Linked DNA regions of Xenopus tropicalis. The protein of the gene in region 5 purifies or fractionates together with the protein of the main gene of each other region. This does not show direct contact. Links are inferred from orthologs where the notes say so. Each region holds a gene or a part of one and is shown on either strand. Other genes may lie near its edges. The genes, in order: asb6, asb2, cops3, socs7, cul5, spsb4 and rab40b.

Region 1 (4,096 bases), on a different chromosome or scaffold from region 5:
CTGACCCAATACACATTATATATGTGTTGCACTGAACTATTCTTAACGGGGTAGGTCACCTTTGGTGTTTTCCAAGGAGCTAAACTAAGTGTTTGGAAGGTGAGCTCCCCCTTAAAGGCTTGGACCAAAAACGGTTCAAATACTATACTATGGGCCTATGCGGACCAGTCAGGCAAACGCCAGAGAAAAGTTCTAATCCAGTACTCATATGATGCGATTAATAAGGGGTCAATATGCTGCCTACTCTCTTACCAGCGTCTGTACCACTGCCTCCAGGCACGGTTGGAACAAGGAATCTGTAGTGATCATTTGGGCCACAGTGGAATATTCCATGATCTCAGAGCACAGACAGACTGACACAAGGAAGGAACACACTCACCTCCTTCGAGCAGCAGACGGATGTTTTCTATGTTATGGATCTGAACGCCATCACTGCTGGCCAGTGCGTGTAATAACGCCGTCTTCCCTGCATAATAATCCGTTTAACATACAATGTGACTTCCCGTTTATTAAGGCGGTATTCATTCCCGAATACAAGGTCCCTGTCATTCCTGCTAAGGGAGGGGTAAAACCCAGCTTAAACCCCTAAATCCACTTACCATTTTTGTCAGCTGCATTTACATCAGCGCTGAGCTCCAGCAGGCGTTGCAGGCACGGCAGTCGCTCTGGTTCTTCACTAGCCAAGTCCAATGGACTGCTTTCATGGATCTGTATATACAGGAGGATAAAATACAAGAAAAGGTAAATTATGTGACACTGCACTTCTAGATCACCTTGTCTCACACAATGGGTTTTTGCCAAGTAAGTTGGTAGTGAGCAGCAGAAGAAATTGTTTACAATGATAAGCCAGCCTATCAGAGTTTTGTGCCTCTCCCAGGTCACTGTGCATTGGTGGAATGCAGAACCCAGAACTGGAGAGATCAGCTTTGCCTGAGGGGATAGGATTCCCTTAAGGGCCTGGCATAAGGTATAGAAACATGCTGAGTATTTCCAGTAGGGTACAGGCCACCAGGATAGAGGCCTGTGCAAGAACTCATTTTTGATATTCGGTCCCTCAGCCCACAACCTGCAACCCAAACCCACATTTTAACCTGCTTGGACCTGCTACCTAACCAGATCTGTGACTTGCTGACCACCTTTAAACTGGAAGTGACATCATCAAAAGTGGGTGGGGGTAGAAGTTTAAGAAAAAGTTTAAAGGGGTAAAATATAGATAATATAAGGACTATAGGTCGCCCACAACCTGACCCGCATCTATAACTACATCTGAAAAACCTACCCGCAGGTACCAAACCACTGCAGGACACCAGAATACAGCTGAAACTTGATCCTTACCCTGTCCCTCTTGTTAATATCAGCTCCGCTCTGCACCAACAGCTCCACCATTTCTGGCTGGTTTCTCAGTACCGCAATGTGTAGCGCCGTGTAGTAGGTCACCGGATCTGGTGAGGGAAACATTGCAAGTGAGAGTTACTTAAGCGCTACAGCTACTATATCCTCTGCACCATGGGCCAAAGCTGGTGAGCTAAATGCAAAAGGTGCTGCAAAGCCACTCTAGATTGGCTGAAAGTGACTTGGCCAACCCATTAGCAGCACACAAGCCACAGCCTGATAAACAGATTCATAACATACTGGTGGCCATACATACACATGGCCACAATCTAACATTCCTTTTGTTCAAGCCACCAACCCAACCAATCAGAACTGCAGAAAGTGAAGAGGAGCTGCGGATCCAGGGTCGGACTGGCTTCCACAGTTCCAGAGTCTCCCTATGGGCCCCCAAGCTGTGACAGTTTCTATCAGCCCCTTCTTATTTCCTCCACAATATCTAATTGCCCTAATGTCAGGTTCTAAGGTCTGACTGTCCCACTTGGTCGGTCAACATGCTCAAAATCATTGGAATCATCCAACCAAACCTTGGCCACCTTTAAACTAACTAGAAACATAGTTTATTAGGAGCTCACCATACCTACCCTCAAAGCTGAGATCTGCCCCAAACTGCAGGAGGATTTTGGCCGACGGAACCATCCCCAGCTCGGCCACCTTCAGCAGCGAGTAACTGACTCCCTCCTTGTAAAAGGAAGACTGAGAATGCCTCTCCAGTAACTCATTCAGCGCCAGGAACTCCTCACTCTCTCCAACCAGGAAACTAAAAGCAGAAAATACACGTGATTCCAGGCCACCAATAGCATGGTACTCTAAGCGCTTACTAATGATAAGGCTCCAATACCTGCTTCTGGTGTCTGCCGCCACCGGCTGTTCAGGGTCCTGAATACCCAGAGCCCCCAGGATCTCATCCACCAAAGGCTGGTACTCGAATATAATCCTCCGAAAGCCATGGAGGAATGGCATAGTGGCAAGAGAGTCTCAATCTTCCACCACCAGCAGAACTGCTGCCTGGTCCTTCAGTACAGAAAAAAACACAGGCAGGTGTGAGTCAGTCATAGGGCTGTTTCCTCTTCCCACCTCCACATTATTAGAAACCCAGAGAAGGCTAATGTAAGGTCAAATAGCATAACCATAACACTGCATTATAACTAAGTAGCACATAGCCTAAAGCCCTCACACGGTCCCTGGCCCTGCACTGGGCTCACAACAAAATAAGGATTTCTGCGTTTTGACTTGATGGCGATCACATTCAAACATTTTGGGACTATTTTAAGTCACAACTATGACATCTATGCGCCCCATGCAACATACACAAACATCTCCCACTTACCTACGCCCCGCCGGAAGCTGCTCTGCTGAATACGGAACACAGAGCTCCTCAGCGAGTGGGCGTGGTTGTTGGACGTGCTGTAGGCGCAGGCGCACCAGAATGAAGGAGATGGCGATGCGTTATGTAGGACAGCAGAGGGCGCTCGCCAATTAGCTAATGAGCCGTGAGCCGTGCCGGCAAATGCTGTAAATTGTTTCATATTAGGACTGAAATGTGAGACTGCCGGGGTTGGGGGGAATCGGAAGAGTCCATCCTGCCAGGGGTTAGTTAGTAAGTAGCCTGGCTAGCGGGGCGGGTAGCTCATACTGATACATATATAGATATATTAATTACAGGGGGTTGGAAAATTATTTTTTATGTAATCCTGTTAGAAGCAGTATAGGCCTGGCTGTTTCTCCTCTCGACATTGCTGATTCTGACTCCTTAAACAGTGTAGCAGAAGCCAACTGACTAACACTTAACTTTTGCTACATTGTTTCAACAGTCAGAACCAGAGAAGGGAAAAGGCAAATACATGTTTGGTGGAGGGAGGTCCTCATAGGCCTGATTTAGTGCCAGTGGGTGTCACCACTGTGCTATTAGGGTCATACACTTGATTCTAGCCCTATATCATTTACCTAATAATCACTGTGGCACCAAGCCTGGCAAAATCATTGCCTTTTGGCAACCGTAATCAGGTAGGGCAGCACGTTAAGCAGCCTAGCAGCCTCTCATGCCTTAGGAGGCTGTTCCCGCTGAATTTTGCTTAGTACAGGGGAATCCCTATTCTGCCATACATAGTAAGTTAGGTTGAAAAAAGACGTACTTCCATCACGTTCATGCCTATATATAACCTGCCTAACTTCTAGTTGATCCAGAGGAAGGCAAAAAACACCATCTGAAGCCTCTCTAATTTGCCGCAGGGGAAAAAAATTCCTTACTGACTCCAAGATGGCAATCGGACCAGTCCCTGGATCTCCCATAACCCTGTATTCCCTCACTTGTTAAGTAGCCATCCAACCCCTTCTTAAAGCTATAAGAATCCTTTCCGAATATTTAAACGGAACCTACCTACTTCTAAACGGAGTGGGTTCCCTACTGGTAAATAAAGTATTAGAGAGGTTATTATATGATCCCCTTATATATTTATACATAGTTATCACGTCACCTCTTAAGCGCATCTTGGCCAGTCTTTCTTCATAACTGAGACTTTCCATACCCTTTACCAGCTTAGTTGCCCTTCTCTGGACCCTCTCTAATTCAATAATGTCCTGTTTAAGCACTGGAGACCAAAACTGAACATCATATTCTAGATGGGGCCTTACCAGCGCTCTGTAAAGGGGAAAAATAACACCCTCCTCCCGTGAATCTATACCCCTTTTAATACAGCTCAAAACC
Region 2 (4,215 bases), on a different chromosome or scaffold from region 5:
AATTAATCTGTTTTAAAAAAGAAAGAAGCCATCTATTGCATGCTGTTTACCACTAAACTTCTTGTGACCAATAAATGTTTTGCATGCAACACCACAAATTTAGTTAGAAACTAGCTCCTGCTCTGTCATATGGGTGCACATTGTTTCAACTCTGACTTTTCTAATGAATATTAAGTGATGCAGGGTGACTCTGAAACTGTTTCCCCCCTTGGCTTGGTGGTTACACCAAGGTTTCAACGGTGGCTTGCATCAATAGATGCACCAGACTTGGGTCCAGTAAGTTGAATGCAAATGCCATTTTAAATGTACACCTTTACCCTGGAAATGCTATATGCATCTTGCACCTGATTTGCATCAGTATTCAAGCACACTGTGCTGGAATTGTGTGTAATTGTGGCAACAAAAATCAGGCACAATGCTGGAATTGTGGCACAAAACTTGATGAATTGTGTCCAAAATTGCACTTTTCACACTGTTGTAAATGACTCCTTTAGTATTATATTTACAAGGTTACTTAGCATTCGGGGTGTTCATCACTTAGGTTTCTTAATAAGAAATTTGCAATTGAAGTTTGACCTTGTCTAGATCATAGTCATTTCTCTTATTTATATTTTAATAGGTACAAACTTGGCTTGAGCACAACTCATTTAGAGCTGGAAAGTATAATATAACCTCAAGCTAAGCACTGATTGTAGAGTGGATACATACAAAAGAATTCCTTAAAATGCCTTATACAAAAAGATTTACTTTCACTTGATTTATAATGAATTATCAGTAAGTTAAATGATATTGATTACTCTGTGTACAGTCTTATGTATGTTAAATTATTAATACGAATGTGATCAGCAGTTTATTGTTATCTTGAAAGCTGTAATTAAATCCCATCTATAAACAGTGTATTCGTAAACACCTTTAAAATCAACCTGCAGCCAAATCAACCATTTTGTGCAACCTTTAGCTGGCCACATATAGACAGTAATGTTGTCCAATAACAGGACTTCATTACATCACAAGGGGTGACATACATAACATCATAGCTATCTTGAGTCTCTAAGCCACTTACATCTGATGTTTGAAAACTTGATAACATGTACTTATAATCTTAGGAGGCATTCTGTTAAATAGGACAGAGAAATGTAAATGTATTACTAAAGTTATATCATATTGCCTTGGCTGGAGGCTTGTGTAATTTTCCCAGCACTGATCCCAGTAAGCAAGCTCAGCAGTTCAGCACAGTGCATATCGTTTTACAGTGTGAACCTTGCAAAATACAACACTCTTTTAAACATGAGCAACTGCCAACTTCCATTTAACTTCATTCATCACTGTAATTCAAAGCAGGATCCTGTTGCAGAGATTTTGCTCCTTGGTTGTTATAAAAAAAGATACATGATAAATGTTGTTATAGTGTAATTAGTCAGCCTCAGAAGTTCCCTTTATGTAAGTTCCCTCTTACGTATAATGATACATGATCTGATAAATTGCTTGATGTTTACTTATAGGTTTTAACAGCTGACTGAACTGTGGTTAAGCAACAGTCAGACATAATAACATGTTTCACTTATGCAATATCACTTAATACGGGAAACTAAATTTGAAGCACCAATATTGGCATCTTCCAAAGATCAAACCTAGCAAGTAAACAAATCCAGAGCAGCACCATCTGTCAGTCTATATAAAACTGCCTGTGAAATAAATTTGGCCAGGAGAACACTGTATATTCATCATTACCAGGTCAAATGTAGTTCCGTGGCAAAGACCAGCCTGTCTGTCTAGATCAATGACACTGACTTGCTTGGCCTGACCATGCATCTTTATCCAATGTCAGTGCACCTTGTACTGCACCACACTACATGTCATATTGCTATTGATAAGCTACTTACTGCACAGTAGATCAATGTTGGAAAAGCTGTGCCTGACATCCTTTCATGTTCAAAGTTGCAGTTTATCAACTAAAAAGCTAAAAATAGGAAAAAAATCTCTTTCTGTTGGTTATTTTTTTTTTGTTATGGTAATTATTTTTAATCTTAGCAAGGTATTTCTAAATATGGTTCCTTTCTGTGACCCTTAATTGGAATGGCAAAGAAGTGAAAAAGCAGCGAAAATGCATGGCTGTATGTGTATACTTTTTAAAAGGATTTCATTTTTTTTTAAATATTTGCAAGAATAAAATAACTTGGCTGATTGCTGGAGACTGCTACATTCCTTGCAAGTTACTGCCCAGACATTAAGTTAAGACTCTGTGCTCAGTCTCGGTCTGGGATTGCCAGTGGTATAGGTAGCCAAGCTAAATTAAAAGCATGAATAGCATTTTAAATAAAATGACTATAGTGATTTGCAAATAAATTATAATTTAAGAAGAGAAGCATTCTTAATCCTTGAATACATAAAAAAGAAAATGGAAGCTCTCAGAGCAAAGTACAAAGTTTGCTCTAACTTGCTTTAATTATTTGCCTTCTCATATTTGTTTTCTCTGTAAAACACCAAATACTTCATTGAATAGTATTCAGTGCAGCATTATAAAAGAATGCATTGTTTGAGGATGCTGGTAGAATGCATGCTAGCGTTACCTTTATATTTCCAGGAGAATGAAATGAGCTTGTTAAAGTGCCTAGGGCTCACAGACAGCCCATAAGTTGCACCCTTGTCCTCCCCTGCAGCAGGTTGCCTCTGCCTCTGCGAAACTGCCCTGTAACACAGACTTTGTAGGCTACAGTTTATTTCTGGAGCACCGCATGATCAGACACGACAAGCCAAAACTCTGTCATGTAGCTCAGATTTCTTATGCAGAGATTAGAAGAGCCAGCTCTGCCATCCAGAATAATATTCCCTGTTGCATTGGCCTGCAGCAGATATTACTGGATCCCGTGGAGAAGTTGCACAGAGGGCTCACTCCTCCCTTGTCTCATTGTTTATACATCCTGACAATAGGCCTTATAAGGATACATTCTTAAGAAAAAAAGAAATGATTTTGGTATTCTTCCTTAGAGGTATCTGAGCCAAGTCATCACTTGTAACAAGTCCTTGATTTCCAACTGAACACTTAAAATTATTTGGCACAATCCCAGACTCATGCCATATAAATATATGTTTTAATTCCTTCTTCCAGAAGGAATGCAATAACAGTTGGAAAGATTTTATTGTTTAGACGTAAACGTAATTTTCTTTTAATTGTAACTTTTTTTTGGCTCAGTCAAACATTTGTTTTCTATATTCTGTGAAAAAAAAGTACAGAAAATGGCTGATTGTAAATTAAAGGCATATTTACAAGAGGCTGTTAATTGTGTACAGTGTGGAAGAACCACAGGTATATGTAGGCATTTGCATATGACTGTAATGAATTACAATTTCCAATGCTAAATACATGTCCTGTTCTTCAGCATGGAGAAAGCAGTTTCTTTTTGCACATGCAGACCTACCTCTCTGAGAGCTCTTCCACTGGAACATCCTCCTTTTGGTATGAGTGGAAAGATAATGCCTCCAGATGCAAGAATATGTCCTTTTCTTTCAAAACTTCACTGGAATGGTTTGGTAGTTTTCTTTGCCTTTTACAATATGCCCCATACATTATGGCTATGACTAAGTACCCCTCTTGGTACAAAATGTGTAAGGCTTTTTGGCATTGTGTACGGACATAATAAACTGAAAATGTTTTGACTCTAAATTGAGCTGCTTTGAAACATGTTTTGGTGATCCTGAGTGCCTGCCTGCATTTCCAGTGTATACTTTATTAATAACACAAGTTTAGATCTGCAGTATGTATTGCTTTTTGGTGTATATTTAGAATACACCTGAGAGCCATCTCTTAATAAAGCACACTCAATTGGGTACCTATTTAGCAGCACACATATAAATCAGCTGACATAGATAGGTGATGCAAAGTTTGATCATGTGGCTACTGTGTACCTTCAGATTTTCAGGTTGCCCACACCCTATAGGACCCTCCTTTGCAGTGCACCTTTAAGGTGTCCACACACATAACAAGTGAACCTTTATATTACCCACAGAGTGCTCCTTTAGGCCAGCCATACTAATGTAAATTTCAATCACCTATACATTTTCATGTTTGTCAGTAACAATGCACATAAAAAATTATTTATATAGTGAAATGGTCAAGCATTTGTGAAACAAGGCAGATGAAGAATGGAGTTTTAACATAGAAAAAACTACGTATGTTGTAAAAGTGACAAAAATAAAAAAGTGCAAAAGAATGGT
Region 3 (3,500 bases), on a different chromosome or scaffold from region 5:
GGTGAATATGGATAACTAGTAACCCGGTACAACCAGAACTGCTACCTTAGCCTCACCCTCCCCTCCCCCGTTTCTTTCTCTTTCTTCCTTTCTTCTTTACTTTGTTTTTCTCTTGTTTAATTGTTTGTAATATGAAATATGCAAAATAAAATCTTTTAATTGTTAAATGTAAAGGAACCGTAAAGTTCTATCAAGTAGTGACTATTTTTAAAACTGGGTAAACATTAATAAATAAGTTTGTCACTATGACCCAATTTATATGAAACAAAGATGCGTCTCACCTCTTGATCAATATTGTGAAGCATCGCAGGATTGTTGTATTTCTCTGGGTTATCGTGAAAACACACCATGCCGTCTTTTTGATTAATACTTGCAAATATTTCACCATCTTCTATCTGGGGGAGAAAGAAGGAGGAGATGACTGCACAACAGCCTAAATCTGAGCAGCAGCAAACCCAGTGACAGTGACCTATGGTACAATATGGCAGCTCTCTTTACAGGTGATAGAAAAACCTATGGAGGCTTTTATGGATCTATCCCCAATGATAACATACCATAGCCCCTTGACTGTCAGGCCTCACACTTGGATAACTGTAATATCATTATCGTATACAGTTTGTTCATTTCCCTATTAAGACCAAACTGTAAATTATATCCTAACAAATGGTGCTTAGTGATGTAATCAGTTATAACCAGAGCTTAGTGATTTCTGTCACATGACTAACTAAAACTTGTATATTATAATAAATAAAGTACCCCCCTGTTGTAAAATATTAGGATATTAGAAGTCACCTTGGAGTTCTATCACCTGTATAAAGGTCATGGAACTCCTTGGTGACTTATAATATCCCTGTATTTTACAATAGGGGGTACTTTATTCACTATATAAATGCAATAAAAGTCTAACATCAATTGAAAAAGGAAAACTAGACAGAGGCTCAGCACAGTCTGTCCATTACACTTCCAAGTGATGCCAATTTCCTTTTGGCCCACACTATATTTAACAGCAATAATAAAGGAAGTTGGGAGAAGCAACCATTTCCCTTCTTACCATGTACAGCACATATTTTTCTGCCTCCTGAGCACCGGACAACTGAACTCGACTAGCCATGTCTTGTAACGACAGCGTTAAAAATGTCTGCAATGAGAGGGGTAGCCGTTAAACATTTTATGAACAAACTACACAGCATAAAAACAATACAAGTGAGGGTTCTTATCCCTGTGCGCTGAGGAGTGAAAGGCACTTACTTTGGTAAGTCTCTGAATGTTCTTCTTGTAGAGGGATGACAGGCATTGCTTGACCAGCCCCATGTTGTTGTCCCTGGTAAAGGTTTCGTTGTGTTTGCTTACAAGATTCCGCAGCTCTGCTGGGTTATTGGTTGAATAGACTTGTGCTAACTCATGGTAAGCATTGCTAAGAGGCTGCAACGGAAGATGAATAAACATTCATTTCTACAGGTCTGTAAAATTACATAACATTAAGGATTAAAGGGGACCTGTTGTATTTGTCAAGCAAAAGCAACTTCACTTCCACTATATAAATTATATAAATCTTGTTTCCTTCAGTCTTGGAATTACACAATCACAGAAAGCAGGCAGGCACCATTTTGTGGGCACTGTTATTAAGGCAAGTTTTGTATCACCCCAAAACCTTGTGTATGTGCCAGATTGGGGGGGCCTGATGCCCATGCAATGGCTACAGATTTAGATGGTGAGGAAGGAGGGGGAAAGTGAAGGGGTAAAGAAAAGTTAAAGTAATTGTTCTCCCCACCTCTATGGATTAAAAACTATTTAAAAGGGTTACAAAAGTCCCTGCTTACAAGTACTTACAATCATGAGAAATTAACTTGCTGTATTTTCACACAACAAAATACATCTAAGCAAATCTACTAGTTCCAGCTTACCTTGATAAATCTACCGACAATTTGCGAGGTATATTTAGGTAGCTGCTGAACCTTTCCATGGAGTATCAAGGAAACTAGAATATACTTTTTATAGGCTTCCAGCATTATGTGACTAACAGCCATGGCTGGAGTAGTTATAGCCTGCAGAAACAAACCAAGCAAAATCATTACAGGGGTTAACAACATTTCATTTCATTCCATTTGACCTACTAATAATGCAAGACTATACAGGAAAAAAATGCTTAATATTGATTAAGCACAAGTTACTGCCATATAAACCGTGCTATGGTGGCATATTAATCTTGCTACACTGCGTAGAGCAGCCATTGGCATGCATAACTGATGCTACAATTATATATTCAGTGGGGGTCATTTATAAACACTGAGCAAATTTGCACCTGGGCAGTAACCCATAGCAACGAATCAGTGATTACATTTATTCAGCAGCTGCAGACAGAACAACTGAAGCAAACATCTGATTACTTGCCATGGGTTACTGCCTAGGTGCAAATTTGCCCAGTGTTTATAAAACAGCCCATTTGTCACAAGCCACCATAACCCTTTCATGCCACACAGCAGAAGAAAAAGCCATGTTGTTTACTCTTTGTAGGACACATGCCATGTTGAGATGGCAATCAAAATGGTAGCTTATCGGCCCGTGTAGGGGCACTAACGACAGGCCTGCCTGACATCTGGCCTGAAATTGGCAAGATATCAATCTGGCAGGTTTAAAAATCCGTCGGATTAGGGACCACATCAGCTCGTTGATGAGGTTCCCAAACCGACAGACGCCTATACCCATCGCTCTAATTCGATCGTTTGGCTCCAGGGCCAAACGACAGAATTAACCCGATATCGCCCACCCGTAGGTGAGGATATTGGGAGAAGATCCGCTCACTTGGCGACCTCACCAAGGATCTTAGCGTGTATGGCCACCTTAAGACGCCATTCAATCTGCATTAGAGAGCCGGCTAGGCCTCAGAAACTAAAAAACAACTGTACCTGCTCATAAAAATACAGTGCTCTCTCGAAGTTCTTCAAGCCTGTGTAAATCATCCCGCCGTAATAGTAGTAACACAGGAAGGGCTTGGCATCGTAAGCGCCATTCTCTTTGCAAATATCCATCATATCTACATCTAGGTACGCAAGTGCAGGCTTAAAACATTTCGCTAAGAGAGAGAGCTACAAAGGAAAATGTAGAAATCAGAACAGTGAAATGCTACAGTTTTACATTTGCTGATGCTAAAATTGCACAAGTTTTTGCTAAAAATAGGTAATAGCTAAAATAAAATACTCCTGAACCAATGTAGTAGAAGCCAGCTAATTAGCAGGCCTGGAGGAGAGATTGTTTCAAGAGTCACAACCAGAGAGAAGGAAATAAGGAATAAACCAATACTAATTCCAACTGCTATTAGGTAATCAGTGGATATCCTCCCCGCCCCTCCCAGCAGCCGATCAGCAGAACAATGGGAAGGGAGCAAGATAGCAGCTCCCAGTAGGTATCAGAATAGCACTCAATAGTAAGAAATCCAAGTCCGGCTTGGGACTCCTCCAGTTACATGGGAGTAGAAGAAACAATAGGTTAGCTGAAAGCAG
Region 4 (2,346 bases), on a different chromosome or scaffold from region 5:
ACCCACAACCAACCCTAACCCACTGCTCCACTACCCACAACCAACCCTAACCCGCTACTCCACTACCCACAACCAACCCTAACCCGCTGCTCCACTACCCACAACCAACCCTAACCCGCTGCTCCACTACCCACAACCAACCCTAACCCACTGCTCCACTACCCACAACCAACCCTAACCAACTACCCACAACCAACCCTAATTCACTGCTTCACTACCCACAACCAACCCTAACCCGCTGCTCCACTACCCACAACCAACCCTAACCCGCTGCTCCACTACCCACAACCAACCCTAACCCGCTGCTCCACTACCCACAACCAACCCTAACCCGCTGCTCCACTACCCACAACCAACCCTAACCCGCTGCTCCACTACCCACAACCAACCCTAACCCGCTGCTCCACTACCCACAACCAACCCTAACCCGCTGCTCCACTACCCACAACCAACCCTAACCCACTGCTCCACTACCCACAACCAACCCTAACCCGCTGCTCCACTACCCACAACCAACCCTAACCCGCTGCTCCACTACCCACAACCAACCCTAACCCACTGCCCACAACCAACCCTAACCCGCTGCTCCACTACCCACAACCAACCCTAACCCACTGCTCCACTACCCACAACCAACCCTAACCCACTGCTCCACTACCCACAACCAACCCTAACCCACTGCTCCACTACCCACAACCAACCCTAACCCACTGCTCCACTACCCACAACCAACCCTAACCCAGCATGCCTTCAAATTTATAGACCCCGCCCCCCCACGGAAGGGGGCAGGGCCAAGGAGGGGCAAGTCTATAAAAGGCTCACACCGGAGGCAGAAGTGGGCACAGGTGGGAAGAGAGCTAAAGGAAGAGCTCAACCCAAACCCGCTTGCGGCCCAGCAATGGTGTCAGAAACTTGGCGTGATCCCACCTACCCGCGGATCCCATGGGAATCGGGAAGGCCCATACATCACTACTGGGTGCCACTGACACCAGTCCCGGCTGTGGGATTCACTATAAAAGTTTTAATAAAACAATGAATAATCCAAAGACTCTATTTGCTTACCTGGTTCGGCCTATGAAGAGGGAAAGCGCGGAATCCTCGCTACGTGGAGCTCTCGCTCCCAGACTCCAATTTGTTCAGATGCCGCGCCTCCTTTAGACAAAGGTATACCTCCTCCTGGGGGTCGTAATAATAGAACTTGCGCAGGTATGAGATGAGGGGTCTGAAAAGAAAGGGACAGGATTTTGGTTTCGACATGTATTTACTAGATCGCTACTGAGATGACAAGGAAAGTACTTCTGTGCAGAAAAATGGTGAAAAAGCCATAGATCGGGATGAAATACAGATTCAAATCCTCATTTTGGACTCTGAGTTTTTAAAGGGATAGGATGACCTCTAGGTGAAATCATGACTGTCTCTTAACTAAAGCTGCATTTGGACTGACATGCCCCCCCAACACTGATGCCTCTCTAATCTGGGTCCCATCCAGAAAGGCTAAGAACCCCACCATATACACAGCCTGAGCGTCTGTGCTGGAGCTACATAAATAAATGACACTATATGAGGAATAATGATAACAGAAGCAGCTAGAATAACAGGCACAACATATAAGTTCAATGAGATGTAAGTACACGGGCAAGTGATCAAAGAGAAGGCAGCCCCCCCCCCCCCCCCCCCCAGCTAACAAGTCAGCGACCCCAGAACACTGACCCACTTCATGCGCTTATGCTAAAACAGTTCCTGCCTCTGACAGGCACCAAATGGCTTGCAAGGCTGTGAGATTGGATCAAGCCCCCCCCTCCAACCGTGCTGGAACCCACAGACCTCCCAGCTCTGCAAAAACACCACTTAGCAGGGGCTCTGTTTAGTGTTAACTGCTAATTTGGAAATGGTAATTACACAGTAGGGAAAAACTGTATTTGCACACAGACTGCAACAGTGGCAGTGACTGGGAGGTACTAAGTGCCATGTACTGTATGATAGGGCGGAACCTTCCCTTAGTGCCAGCACCCTATCCTTTGCTCCAAACCCGCACACGTCAACAAGACCCCCATGCCATACCTAGGCTGCTGATTAAAGGGGAACTCCGGCTTCCAAACCAAACTGTGTTACATCATACAGCACAGAAACCCCTAATATCACTGTAATCTTCAGAAAGTATAAATAAATACCATTTTTATATGCTGAAATCCAGCTGCAAAACAGCTCTTCTCTTTCTGCATCATTTGAAATCCTGGCAGGGGAGGAGGGACTGAAACACTGATGTTACAAATTGTAACAACTTCTCCACAGCTTACAGACAGCATGCAGGAACTACATAACCCACAATGCACTGCACTGGGATGT
Region 5 (3,500 bases):
CATATAACGAGAATCTTAGTTGCAACTACAAAATGCCAGAAAATACCCTGCCATAGACAATACTAAGAACCACCTTTGCTACTACACATTTAGGGCAGTATAGCCTTGTGTGTACACTGCTCAGAACAGTGTTTGTATACATAGGATTGATCCTGCTTTGTCTTGTGGGATCCTGCGTGCATGTGAAGCAAATTAATGCAGGAACCTTTTTCCTGTAACTCAAGCATTAAAATTGCCAATGACCTAAATACTTTTTTAGAAGTCTATTTTTTATTAATAATAATAATAATAGCCAATTTGACTTGTAAGCTAAAAACAAACATCTGGTTGGTTGTTACAGGTTACTAGACCATGGCCAAATATGTGTTCACCCTGTAAATGCCATTCCCATGCTATGGGGTCCTGGTGAGGCCATTTCTTGCCTTATTTACAAACTCCATTATCTGAGGTCAGTATGGTTTAAAAGAGGAATGGTTATTAATATAATAAATCCATTAAGTGCAGTGGATGCTTAATAATGTTTAAAGCATATTTGTCATCAGTCAGCAACATACTGTGCCACTGTACATGAGTGGGAAGCAGGATTCCATGGAGGAGTAATATAAAGGGTAAATTTACCTTCAAATGCCCTTTAATACACACCTTGATTATCTTTTAGGCATTACAGGAAATTGTTTCTCCTCCATCACTTTAACTAGCACAGTTTTTCTCTTAATACTTACGAGAACAAATCGAACCATTGCTGTTTTGTGACGGATTCCTGGCGTAAAAGTTTCAGAACTATAGGTCTCATAAAGTCCCATTTGTCCTCAAATTGAAGGGAACCTTTATTCTGTAAGAGAAAGCAAATGCCATTTAGCTATAGTTCCTTGGTCCTACATCTGTAAAATAAAACTTTCATTTAACTTCAAGCCAATGTTATTCTTTCATATCGACACCTTTAGCTGATTGAACAAGGCCTGCTTAATTACTTGTATGTGATCATACATGTGCACATACACATCTCTGTACAGAAACAGCAATAAAATATCAAGTACAATTATAAAAGTCAGCAAGAGCAAATTTATAATGACATGTTCCTATAGACATTGCAGGTATGGGATCCATTATCTGAAACCCTGTATCCAGAAAGGCTTCCTTCCATAGACTCCATTTTTTGCAAATAATTTTGATTTTTAAAAATTATTTCCTTTTTCTCTGTGATAAAACAGTACCTGTACTTGATCCCAACTAGGATATAATTACCCCTTATTGGGGGCAGAACAGCTCTATTGGGTTTATTTAATGGTTAAATGATTCCCTTTTCTCTGTAATAATAAAACAGTACCTGTACTTGATCCCAACTAAGATATAATTACCCCTTATTGGGGCAGAACAGCCCTATTGGGTTTATTTAATGGTTAAATGATTCCCTTTTCTCTGTAATAATAAAACAGTACCTGTACTTGATCCCAACTAAGATATAATTACCCCTTATTGGGGGCAGAACAGCCCTATTGGGTTTATTTAATGGTTAAATGATTCCCTTTTCTCTGTAATAATAAAACAGTACCTGTACTTGATCCCAACTAAGATATAATTACCCCTTATTGGGGCAGACCAGTCCTATTGGGTTTATTTAATGGTTAAATGATTCCCTTTTCTCTGTAATAATAAAACAGTACCTGTACTTGATCCCAACTAAGATATAATTACCCCTTATTGGGGCAGACCAGTCCTATTGGGTTTATTTAATGGTTAAATGATTCCCTTTTCTCTGTAATAATAAAACAGTACCTGTACTTGATCCCAACTAAGATATAATTACCCCTTATTGGGGGCAGAACAGCCCTATTGGGATTATTTAATAGTTAAATGATTCCCTTTTCTCTGTAATAATAAAACAGTACATGTCATTTCGCCAGTTTCCATGAATGGCTAAAATGTAAGGTACAGAAATTGTTTAAGTCCAATTACTTTTAAAAATTGTTTTGGAAATGTTTTCTCCCTGCCATAAATGTTTATGTGATAATCGAATGAATCAAGCCAATATACATCTGTGCGCAGCTACAGTGATAGAAATTTTTGGGCAGGGTTATATTTTAGGTTTTGCACAGACTGCAACAGGCATTTCCCAGAAATAGCTACACAGGGCTGCTATGCAGCAGGCTATAAATAGGCCAGCGCCGTGACCAGTCCAGCTATGGGCCCGTTCCCTTTCAGTTACACAGAGCTAGAAGCCTTAACGAAGGGCTGTCATAATTAGCTCTCCCATATGTCTAGCTGAGGGTGCTAAATGGGAACAATATCTACTGTGCACCAACCTATTAAATAGCAGTAAGGATACCAAATGTTTAACACTTACTGTACATTTATAAATAATGGGGATCCATTTACGCCCACAAGTGCAGTGAGCAAGTGCCATGTTTTTTTCTCAGTGTTTTTTTTACCAGAATGCCAAGACCATTGCAGTCGCAAGGGGCATTGCATATGATGCTACTGTGCAGAATTGTACCTAGCATTATTTTCAGTGCTCAGCATGACGTCCCCATACCTTTGCAAAATGGGGTTCAATATGCAACTCACTGCGGGGAGAAGTGCAGGAACACAACTGCAAGGGCACAGCAAGCACAGTGTTTTGAGGGCCTTAAGGGCAATGGCACACAGAGATCAGTTGCCTGAGGTTAAACTTCGGCTACTGTGGGCGACTAATCTCAGGAATGGCTACAAGTTGCCTGGGATCCCTGCCATACATGAAGGAAGGGAAACCAAATGCCCAACCAATACGACATTAAACTCTTCCATACTGGCATCCAATTACAGGTATGGGACCTGTTATCCAGAAAGCTCGGGACCTGGGGTTTTCTGGATAAGGGATTTTTCTGTAATTTGGATCTCCATAACTTAAGTCTACTAAAAATCATTCAAATATTGAATAAACCCAATAGGACTGTTCTGCCCCCAAAAAGGGGTAATTATATCTTAGTTGGGATCAAGTACAGGTACTGTTTTATTATTACAGAGAAAAGGGAATCATTTAACCATTAAATAAACCCAATAGGACTCTTCTGCCCCCAATAAGGGGTAATTATATCTTAGTTGGGATCAAGTACAGGTACTGTTTTATTATTACAGAGAAAAGGGAATCATTTAACCATTAAATAAACCCAATAGGGCTGTTCTGCCCCCAATAAGGGGTAATTATATCTTAGTTGGGATCAAGTACAGGTACTGTTTTATTATTACAGAGAAAGAGGAATCATTTAACCATTAAATAAACCCAATAGGACTCTTCTGCCCCCAATAAGGGGTAATTATATCTTAGTTGGGATCAAGTACAGGTACTGTTTTATTATTACAGAGAAAAGGGAATCATTTAACCATTAAATAAACCCAATAGGGCTGTTCTGCCCCCAATAAGGGGTAATTATATCTTAGTTGGGATCAAGTACAGGTACTGTTTTATTATTACAGAGAAAGGGAATCATTTAACCATTAAATAAACCCAATAGGGCTGTTCT
Region 6 (3,966 bases), on a different chromosome or scaffold from region 5:
AGAAGACAGTCAATATACCCATAAATGTGTTATGTTTATATGTCATGTTGATGAATGTGTGTGTGTGTAGATCAAGCAACTCCATATTAATATTTATATACACCATCTGTATGCATATCTTTAATATACACAAACGCCTGCACAATTCATTGGCTATCGGACCTCATAGAGCAGTCAGCCTAATCCCCTTCCACTGCTTTGTTTCCTTAATTCAAACCATCTGAGCATTTGCCAGTTCTGGGCACTATCAGTGCAGGAACCTGGCTGTAACACTAAAATACACATGTGACCGTAATGGTCAGCGATTAGGACGTTTATGGCTATGCAAGTGGAGGCCCACATGCTGGCTGTAGCCCTTCACGAGATTTACATGCCCCCAGGCTGTTTAAGACACCCACAGACCTCTGGACATTATTAGATTACTACTAAAGTAACTGGCCCACATTACAGAAACAAATGGGTACCACCAAGGTTGTTCTGCCTACAGTACCAGTGGTTGTAACCTTCCCAATATGCCCCCATGATCCAATTATTTCAATTACAATGTGTATATGACCATGATAAAGGCTATTTAAGTCATGTAATACTGTTTTCAGATCCTGCACTTCCAAACACTAATGCTCACTGTTATATGTTCTTACCCTTAAAATCCCTACAGTTCTGCAGTGACTTTGGTACTCAGAGCTGCATAAGAATTCGCCACACACAAGCAAATAACACACACTCAATATTGCCTTTACGCAAACTTTGTATTTATACAGCCTACAATGCTCTGCAATACCTAATGGCATCACTCCCCCCAAGAACATAAACATACATGAATAATGAATGCTGGTGGGACCATAGATGTTGTATTGCCTTCAAGGGCCAAATAGCTGGCTCAGCAATGTGCTGGGCGCCCCATGCTACAGGCTTAGCTGCTTATTTGCTCCAGGCAAATTTATGACTCTCTGGAAATCTGAAGGATAAAGAGAAAGAGCCACATCTAGCCAGTGCTGCCCCATTCAATCTGCATTATTTACTGGGATCCTGCTTTCCTTGGAATTTGTAGTATATACAACTATCCTGCCATTCCACAGAAACTGCAACAGTTACAGTAAACAAACCACATCTAGCAACTTTGCAGAGAGTTCTCACATTCGCCAAGGATTACGCTTTAGCGCGTCATGAGCAGTAATATCTGGGAAGAACCACTGCAGGGATCATAAATATTCTCCCAAAGAAAGGTTATCTTTACTATTCCCCCTATGCAGAAAAGCAGGCAAGCCAATTAAGATAGATAGATTGATAGACAGATAGATAGAAAAAGATAGCTTGGTAAATGGGAAAGATACACAGGACACACAAAAAGAAAGCACAGCAAGAGACAGAGATGGTGAATGAGTTGGGTGAAACTGCTGACAATCTCGCCCTGAGATGATTAGCTAAAGACAAAGGCTAACTGTAATGCTTGCAATCACATAAACAAAGGAAGACAGGCCTTTGCCCAGAATAATTGGGTGTTCAGATTAGAACTAGCATGCTGAGCAATGATTTGGGAAGGGAGGTGTCTACAGGTGCCCAGAATCCCCCAAGTCAGAATTAACCTCTGGGCTTCCTTATGTTGGGAACATCCCATGCTATACCATATACAGCCAGTAGATGGCTCTCTGTAGTTCCATTTCCTACACTTAGTAGGCCAATTCTTTGTAAGCTGTTACAATAAAAATATGTGTGTGTCTAGAATATCCTTGTTGGCCTTCTGTTTTTGTACATTTCCAAAAGCTGATTATGTGAGTTATAGTTCACAAATAGCTTGATGGATTTACAGACATATGCAGTTGGTTAGCTGTTATTATGTATCCAGCATGAAAGCAATAATTGGACTGCATCTCTACAGCTCCTATAGTCTGTGTTCTTCAGATCCAGGCAGCTGAATACAAACTGTGTATTTATGAAGCTTGCTAGTGTTTGATAAAAAGAATAAGTGTAGTTCCCCCTCTACAAATCCATATAAGAGTGAAAGCCTGGAGCACTAGTCTTCCAACAGACTACCCCCACTCCCCCCAATAAAGATAAATCATAAAGACTGTCAGGAAAGACAAAAAGGTGGAGCTGTTTTCAAATTTAGACAGTATAATATCCCTGTGAAATATTTCTGCAATACAGTATATAGCTACACTCACTATATATTATTAAAAAAGAAAAGTAGATATGGCGCAAAGACCCTGGCAGCAAGATGCCCCCAAATGGCTGAACGGCTGCCTAGCTTCCCTGAGCAATCACTTTATGAAGTCAGACTGTATCGCACCTGAGAAGTGAGCGATCCGGCCACAGACGCATCCCATTGTTTCCCAGGGGATCGCTTCGGTACGTACCTTACAGGGTGGGATCCATACAGCCGGGAGGATAGAAAGCCACAGAGTCGGGTCTAATCCAAGGCAAAGAGAACAAGAGATGGAAGAGTAAGAGAAGCGCTAATCCCACAGCTCCCACATGTAGTGAGGGGCAAGTAAGAAGCGGGGGGCTTTCATTAGCACCAGTGGGACCCCACGAGAAGTTACTCCAGGCTGCTCTCCCCAGCGCCGCTACAGGCACCGACTGCTTGTGGGATCACAGAAAGGAGCGGAACAGCCATCCGGCAAACAATCCGCGGCCCCTCATCCCTTCCCCGGCCGCTTTGTGTTCAGAGATTGTGCCCCCCAGCTCCTCCGTACGGGAGAGACAGCCCAGATGGGAAGAGCCTGCCGCTACTGCCGCTGAGCCCCATCCTGCAAGCTGATCCCTGCTGATCTCATCAGTCACAACTAACTAATCCAATGGCCGGGGAACGGGGAACACGTAGCCACGCCCCTCTCTGCCTCCCCTCCCAGCGCACACAATGGAAGGAGCCCACCAGCTGCCGAAACTGGGAGAGATCTGCGCTCTGCTGGTGGCACTGGGGCCGGGGGGTCTGGGGCTGCTCTGCCGATCTCTCCATTGTCATGCAGCGAGGCACTGGGGCCTAAATCCCTTTGTTACTAATTGGGCTTTTGGAAGTCAAATTCCTGCCCAGCTGCGCTGATGTCAATGGGAAACTGTAACTTGTTTATGGGCTGAATAGGCCGGTCCCTTTGTACTCACATGATTGCGTGAGGGGCTGCTGTCACCTTGATAATAGTAATACTGAAATAATCTGCTTTAGTTCCTGTGCTGCTGATAATAAGGACTATAAAATATGCCATTATACTGTGCAAAACCCAAAGACCAGTAGCCTCATAAATGGTGCTTAGTGATGTCATTGCTTACAGTAGGTGCTTAGTGATGTCATTGCTTACAGTAGGTGCTTAGTGATGTCATTGCTTACAGTAGGTGCTTAGTGATGTCATTGCTTACAGTAGGTGCTTAGTGATGTCATTGCTTACAGTAGGTGCTTAGTGATGTCATTGCTTACAGTAGGTGCTTAGTGATGTCATTGCTTACAGTAGGTGCTTAGTGATGTCATTGCTTACAGTAGGTGCTTAGTGATGTCATTGCTTACAGTAGGTGCTTAGTGATGTCATTGCTTACAGTAGGTGCTTAGTGATGTCATTGCTTACAGTAGGTGCTTAGTGATGTCATTGCTTACAGTAGGTGCTTAGTGATGTCATTGCTTACAGTACGTGCTTAGTGATGTCATTGCTTACAGTAGGTGCTTAGTGATGTCATTGCTTACAGTAGGTGCTTAGTGATGTCATTGCTTACAGTAGGTGCTTAGTGATGTCATTGCTTACAGTAGGTGCTTAGTGATGTTATCGCTTATAGTAGGTGCTAAGTGATGTCATTGCTTACAGTAGGTGCTTAGTGATGTCATCGCTTACAGTAGGTGCTTGGTGATGTTATCGCTTACAGTAGGTGCTAAGTGATGTCATTGCTTACAGTAGGTGCTTGGTGATGTCATTGCTTACAGTAGGTGCTTGGTGATGTCATTGCTTACAGTAGGTGCTTAGTGATGTCATTGCTTACAGT
Region 7 (4,228 bases), on a different chromosome or scaffold from region 5:
AATACTTCATTTACCCCCTGTCCTTGGCAGACCCACAAGGCACATGTGTTATAGGAATCTTATATCTAAATACAGAGGATCGGTAAATACACAGCATTAGGGAGAATGAGCAGATTTCTCCCTGTGAATGTAAAAGTGCAGTGACTGGGGGCAATTGCATTGTGGGGGGTGTCGCACCTGACTGCAAGATATATATATATATATATATATAGTCACTTGATCCCCTGCCGTGCTAATGGCCAGCTGTCTCCCTAACAGGGGGCACTGACATCTACAAGCCAGATAAAAGCCCCTGAGTGTCTTTAAATATCCCTCAGACTCTGTGCCGAGGCCCAAAAATCTATTCTTAAATACGGCTTAGGGAGGAATTCCAAGCATCTGGTTCTGTTACCTTAAAGGGGTTGTTCACCTTTAAATTAACTTTCAGTATCATGTAGCGATTCTGAGACCATTTGCAATTGGTTTCCATTAATTGGAGTTTAATTTAACTATTTCTTCAGCAGCTCTCCAGTTTGGAATTTCAGCAGCAAACTGGTTGCTAGTGTCCAGTTTAGCCTAGCAACCAGGCAGTTGTTTGAAAGAGAGAAAGGAATATGGATAGAGGAGGGCCTAAATAGAAAGATAAGTAATAAAAAGTAACAATACAATTCGCAGAGCAATAGTTCTTTGGCTGCCGGGGTCAGTGACCCTCATTTAAAAGCAGGAAAGAGTCAGAAGAGGAAGGTAAATAATAAGGCTGAGGGCATAGTCTCTGCTGGCGTTCCCAGCGTGTGCCAGGGTGTAGTGCCCGGTTAGTGGGGCTGAAGAGGGGGTGTTGGGCACAGGGTGATGGGAGCCCAGCCTACTAGGCCACCAGTAGCCACAGCACATGGGATATGTCCCGGCACATAACTCAGGACGCGGATAAGAGTGATGAGTTACAGGGATTATGGGATGGGAATGCCACTGTTGCACCTGCTGATGCCCATCACCCTATAGACTGGCACTGAATGGGCATTAAATGCCAACTGTGTGTGAGCTAAGCACCAAAATATCCCCCGTTCCCCCAGGATACAAGCAATTATACTATCTACCATCACAGCACTTACCCATATTGTAACCGTAAGGTGACTCTGTGCATCCATCCTGCAGGCTTGCCAGTATCTCCCCTTTGCCAACATCACTGTCCCCAACCAAAAGGAACTTCAGCAGGAAGTCATAGGCTTTCACTGGGCTGGCTCTGTGGGTCATCCTCTTCCCCGAGGCACACACGGTTACAGGCCTTCTCCATCAGCCCATCATGGCAGAAGCACGTAAGTAATTTCACAGGAGCACTCCGGCTGGGAAACTCATGCCAATGTGTTCAGCTTGAGGGAGAACCAAAAGGAAATTACTGTAAGCAGCAGTCCTGCCCTGCTTTATGGCTGAGATTCTAGCTATCTGTATAACAGAGCATTCTGTCACAGTGGCACAGATCCTATCTGATCCCCCCATTGTAAGCAGCAGCCCTGCCCTGCTTTATGGCTGAGATTCTAGCTATCTGTATAACAGAGCATTCTGTCACAGTGGCACAGACCCTACCGGATCCCACCCATTGTAAGCAGCAGTCCTGCCCTGCTTTATGGCTGAGATTCTAGCTATCTGTATAACAGAGCATTCTGTCACAGTGGCACAGATCCTATCTGATCCCCCCCCCCCCCCATTGTAAGCAGCAGTCCTGCCCTGCTTTATGGCTGAGATTCTAGCTATCTGTATAACAGAGCATTCTGTCACAGTGGCACAGATCCTATCTGATCCCCCCATTGTAAGCAGCAGCCCTGCCCTGCTTTATGGCTGAGATTCTAGCTATCTGTATAACAGAGCATTCTGTCACAGTGGCACAGACCCTACCGGATCCCACCCATTGTAAGCAGCAGTCCTGCCCTGCTTTATGGCTGAGATTCTAGCTATCTGTATAACAGAGCATTCTGTCACAGTGGCACAGACCCTACCTGATACCCCCAAACCAATATTACTTAAAGATAACATCCAAGTATTAAGAACCCTGCACAATAGTCAAATGCAGGTAAGCCCCATCCATACAGGACAAAACTCTGCTCAGGTCTTGCTCGCTAGTAAGTGAAATCATACCTATTATCATGGCTTAGCCTGACAGCTCATTAGGCATTTAGGGCAGTGTGGGCAGCTGTATTACATGTACAGAAGGGGGGCGAGAGTGGCATTTAGCTCTATGGTTACATCTTGCCCTCCTGTCTTCCCACCTGACTGCCACCAACTTGCCCTACTGATGCCATCTTGCCCCACTGTGCCAACTGTCCCCTGCCCTTCCCTGCTCTTCCCAATATACTGCCCTGGGCAGCCTGCCTATTTGGTACCCACCTGTATATAAGTGTATGTACATTCAGTCTGTACTGAGCAGCTGTCAGTGGGGGGTGGGGGGGGGGCGTTATTTAGTACTGTTCCTTATAGAACAGGGCTCCACTGTTCTAAGTGTATGTAAATATATATGTATACATGGTACATGTACGATAGAAGTATGGTACGTATGTATATGTGTATGTATGTATGTGCATAGTGTGTATGTAAGTGTATGTAGATATAGGTATGCCTGTGTGTATATATACATATGAAGCTGCTGAGGGGGAGGTGTGTATGTTTATATACACAGATGTAAGTGAGCACACACACACACACACCTTATTACCCCACCCCACCCCCACAATACATTTACCCCATACACAGCTGAGACTGCCCCACAGGTTAGACAGGGCAAAGCCCGGGGCAGTGCCATACAGTAGCACCTACCTGTCCCTCCAGCTCCTGCCTCGCTACATCCTGCTCTGGGAACTGCTGGGCTGCGCTCCCTATGCAGCTCCTCTCCCGCCTCTCCCCCACTCTCATTGGTCTCTAGCTCAGTTGCTAAGGGATTGGCCACACCAGATTGGCTGCAGCAACCATCCATCATGGGACGGAGGCGTTAGGAGATATTCACACACACACACATACACACACTCACTAGTACATAATAATTTCCCATTTCTGATACAATGTTCCGTGTGAGTGTTCCCGTTGCTAAGTGCCAGTTTAGCTGTATGATATATACGTTATATTGATACAATGGGAGGAGCCCAGACCCCGGGGCAGTTACACACAATCCCCCCACAGAAACCAATTCTATACATAAAGCTTTGTCTGATACACAAACCCACTTACCCCCGGCTGGGGCGCTTATCCAGATCAGCAGGCAGTTCCCACAGTGCAATATAATCTCTCCCTCTGTCTCTCTATTAAACCGGTTCCCACTGAGTTACTGGGACCTGCCCCGGCACGTTCCCCCTCTCCTCGCTCCGTTTAGGAACCGGCCCATTTCCTACTAACAAACCTATTTTCTCTTTGCACTAACGCCGCAGTGTCGCTGATTTCCCACTGGGTTTAAATGACACAGAACCAACCTGCCTCCAACCCTGTCACCAACCTGCCTCCAACCCAGTCACCAACCTGCCTCCAACCCTGTCACCAACCTGCCTCCAACCCTGTCACCAACCTGCCTCCAACCCTGTCACCGACCTGCCTCCAACCCAGCCACCAACCTGCCTCCAACTCTGTCACCAACCTGCCTCCAACCCTGTCACCAACCTGCCTCCAACCCTGTCATCGACCTGCCTCCAACCCAGCCACCAACCTGCCTCCAACTCTGTCACCAACCTGCCTCCAACCCTGTCACCAACCTGCCTCCAACCCAGTTGTGGGAATGTAGAAACCTGCACAGGTGACACCCTCACTGGTGAACACTGCTGAGTAACTGTCGGGGGGGGGGCCGTGCATGAGTCGGACACTTTCATCAACAATGAGATGATCTAATCGGCTGGGGCTGTTTTGAAACCTTATTTTCCCACAAAAGGCATTGTATAGAGAATATTATGTATAACTGACAGGAAGCCTTCAGGCTCCGCCAGTGTCACTGAATGCCTTTGCATATCGTTCAGACCCCCCCTCACCATTCTCCCAACCTGTTGGATTCAGTCCCTTGGGCTCTAGGCTATTGGCCTTCTCAATATATATAGTAGCAGTGGGATAATAGCCTCTGGGAAGGGACTGGGGCTGTGGGATAGCAGGTATAGTAGGGAGAGATGGTGCCTATAGTAGCAGTGGGATAATAGCCTCTGGGAAGGGACTGGGGCTGTGGGATAGCAGGTATAGTAGGGAGAGATGGTGCCTATAGTAGCAGTGGGATAATAGCCTCTGGGAA

The links.
Region 1: the proteins of cul5 (region 5) and asb6 purify together in Homo sapiens (affinity purification with mass spectrometry; 6 studies listed by BioGRID and IntAct, counting the BioPlex papers as one, with this or other methods). This does not show direct contact. The link is inferred for Xenopus tropicalis from reciprocal best matches to the Homo sapiens genes CUL5 and ASB6.
Region 2: the proteins of cul5 (region 5) and asb2 purify together in Homo sapiens (affinity purification with western blotting; 5 studies listed by BioGRID and IntAct, counting the BioPlex papers as one, with this or other methods). This does not show direct contact. The link is inferred for Xenopus tropicalis from reciprocal best matches to the Homo sapiens genes CUL5 and ASB2.
Region 3: the proteins of cul5 (region 5) and cops3 purify together in Homo sapiens (affinity purification with mass spectrometry; 3 studies listed by BioGRID and IntAct, with this or other methods). This does not show direct contact. The link is inferred for Xenopus tropicalis from reciprocal best matches to the Homo sapiens genes CUL5 and COPS3.
Region 4: the proteins of cul5 (region 5) and socs7 purify together in Homo sapiens (affinity purification with mass spectrometry; 4 studies listed by BioGRID and IntAct, counting the BioPlex papers as one, with this or other methods). This does not show direct contact. The link is inferred for Xenopus tropicalis from reciprocal best matches to the Homo sapiens genes CUL5 and SOCS7.
Region 6: the proteins of cul5 (region 5) and spsb4 purify together in Homo sapiens (co-immunoprecipitation; 4 studies listed by BioGRID and IntAct, counting the BioPlex papers as one, with this or other methods). This does not show direct contact. The link is inferred for Xenopus tropicalis from reciprocal best matches to the Homo sapiens genes CUL5 and SPSB4.
Region 7: the proteins of cul5 (region 5) and rab40b purify together in Homo sapiens (affinity purification with mass spectrometry; 5 studies listed by BioGRID and IntAct, counting the BioPlex papers as one, with this or other methods). This does not show direct contact. The link is inferred for Xenopus tropicalis from reciprocal best matches to the Homo sapiens genes CUL5 and RAB40B.

What each region holds. Positions count from the first base shown.
Region 1 is NC_030684.2:22,271,566-22,275,661, forward strand, and holds the start of asb6 (ankyrin repeat and SOCS box protein 6), read right to left. Parts: upstream 2,801-4,096; 5' UTR 2,720-2,800; intron 2,404-2,719; 5' UTR 2,353-2,403; coding exon 2,231-2,352; intron 2,150-2,230; coding exon 1,974-2,149; intron 1,443-1,973; coding exon 1,336-1,442; intron 709-1,335; coding exon 600-708; intron 467-599; coding exon 380-466; intron 1-379. UniProt on the Homo sapiens protein: Probable substrate-recognition component of a SCF-like ECS (Elongin-Cullin-SOCS-box protein) E3 ubiquitin-protein ligase complex which mediates the ubiquitination and subsequent proteasomal degradation of target proteins.
Region 2 is NC_030684.2:88,133,093-88,137,307, forward strand, and holds the start of asb2 (ankyrin repeat and SOCS box protein 2), read right to left. Parts: upstream 2,801-4,215; 5' UTR 2,571-2,800; intron 1-2,570. UniProt on the Homo sapiens protein: Substrate-recognition component of a SCF-like ECS (Elongin-Cullin-SOCS-box protein) E3 ubiquitin-protein ligase complex which mediates the ubiquitination and subsequent proteasomal degradation of target proteins.
Region 3 is NC_030685.2:15,774,622-15,778,121, reverse strand, and holds part of cops3 (COP9 signalosome complex subunit 3), read right to left. Parts: intron 3,087-3,500; coding exon 2,907-3,086; intron 2,046-2,906; coding exon 1,905-2,045; intron 1,423-1,904; coding exon 1,249-1,422; intron 1,139-1,248; coding exon 1,052-1,138; intron 396-1,051; coding exon 282-395; intron 1-281. UniProt on the Homo sapiens protein: Component of the COP9 signalosome complex (CSN), a complex involved in various cellular and developmental processes.
Region 4 is NC_030686.2:10,984,498-10,986,843, reverse strand, and holds part of socs7 (suppressor of cytokine signaling 7), read right to left. Parts: intron 1,223-2,346; coding exon 1,102-1,222; 3' UTR 1,063-1,101; intron 1-1,062. UniProt on the Homo sapiens protein: Substrate-recognition component of a cullin-5-RING E3 ubiquitin-protein ligase complex (ECS complex, also named CRL5 complex), which mediates the ubiquitination and subsequent proteasomal degradation of target proteins, such as DAB1 and IRS1.
Region 5 is NC_030678.2:159,962,315-159,965,814, forward strand, and holds part of cul5 (cullin-5), read right to left. Parts: intron 833-3,500; coding exon 723-832; intron 1-722. UniProt on the Homo sapiens protein: Core component of multiple cullin-5-RING E3 ubiquitin-protein ligase complexes (ECS complexes, also named CRL5 complexes), which mediate the ubiquitination and subsequent proteasomal degradation of target proteins.
Region 6 is NC_030681.2:123,623,032-123,626,997, reverse strand, and holds the start of spsb4 (SPRY domain-containing SOCS box protein 4), read right to left. Parts: upstream 2,801-3,966; 5' UTR 2,291-2,800; intron 1-2,290. UniProt on the Homo sapiens protein: Substrate recognition component of a SCF-like ECS (Elongin BC-CUL2/5-SOCS-box protein) E3 ubiquitin-protein ligase complex which mediates the ubiquitination and subsequent proteasomal degradation of target proteins.
Region 7 is NC_030686.2:48,032,037-48,036,264, forward strand, and holds the start of rab40b (ras-related protein Rab-40B), read right to left. Parts: upstream 2,801-4,228; 5' UTR 2,785-2,800; intron 1,347-2,784; 5' UTR 1,231-1,346; coding exon 1,089-1,230; intron 1-1,088. UniProt on the Homo sapiens protein: RAB40B small GTPase acts as substrate-recognition components of the ECS(RAB40B) E3 ubiquitin ligase complex which mediates the ubiquitination of target proteins.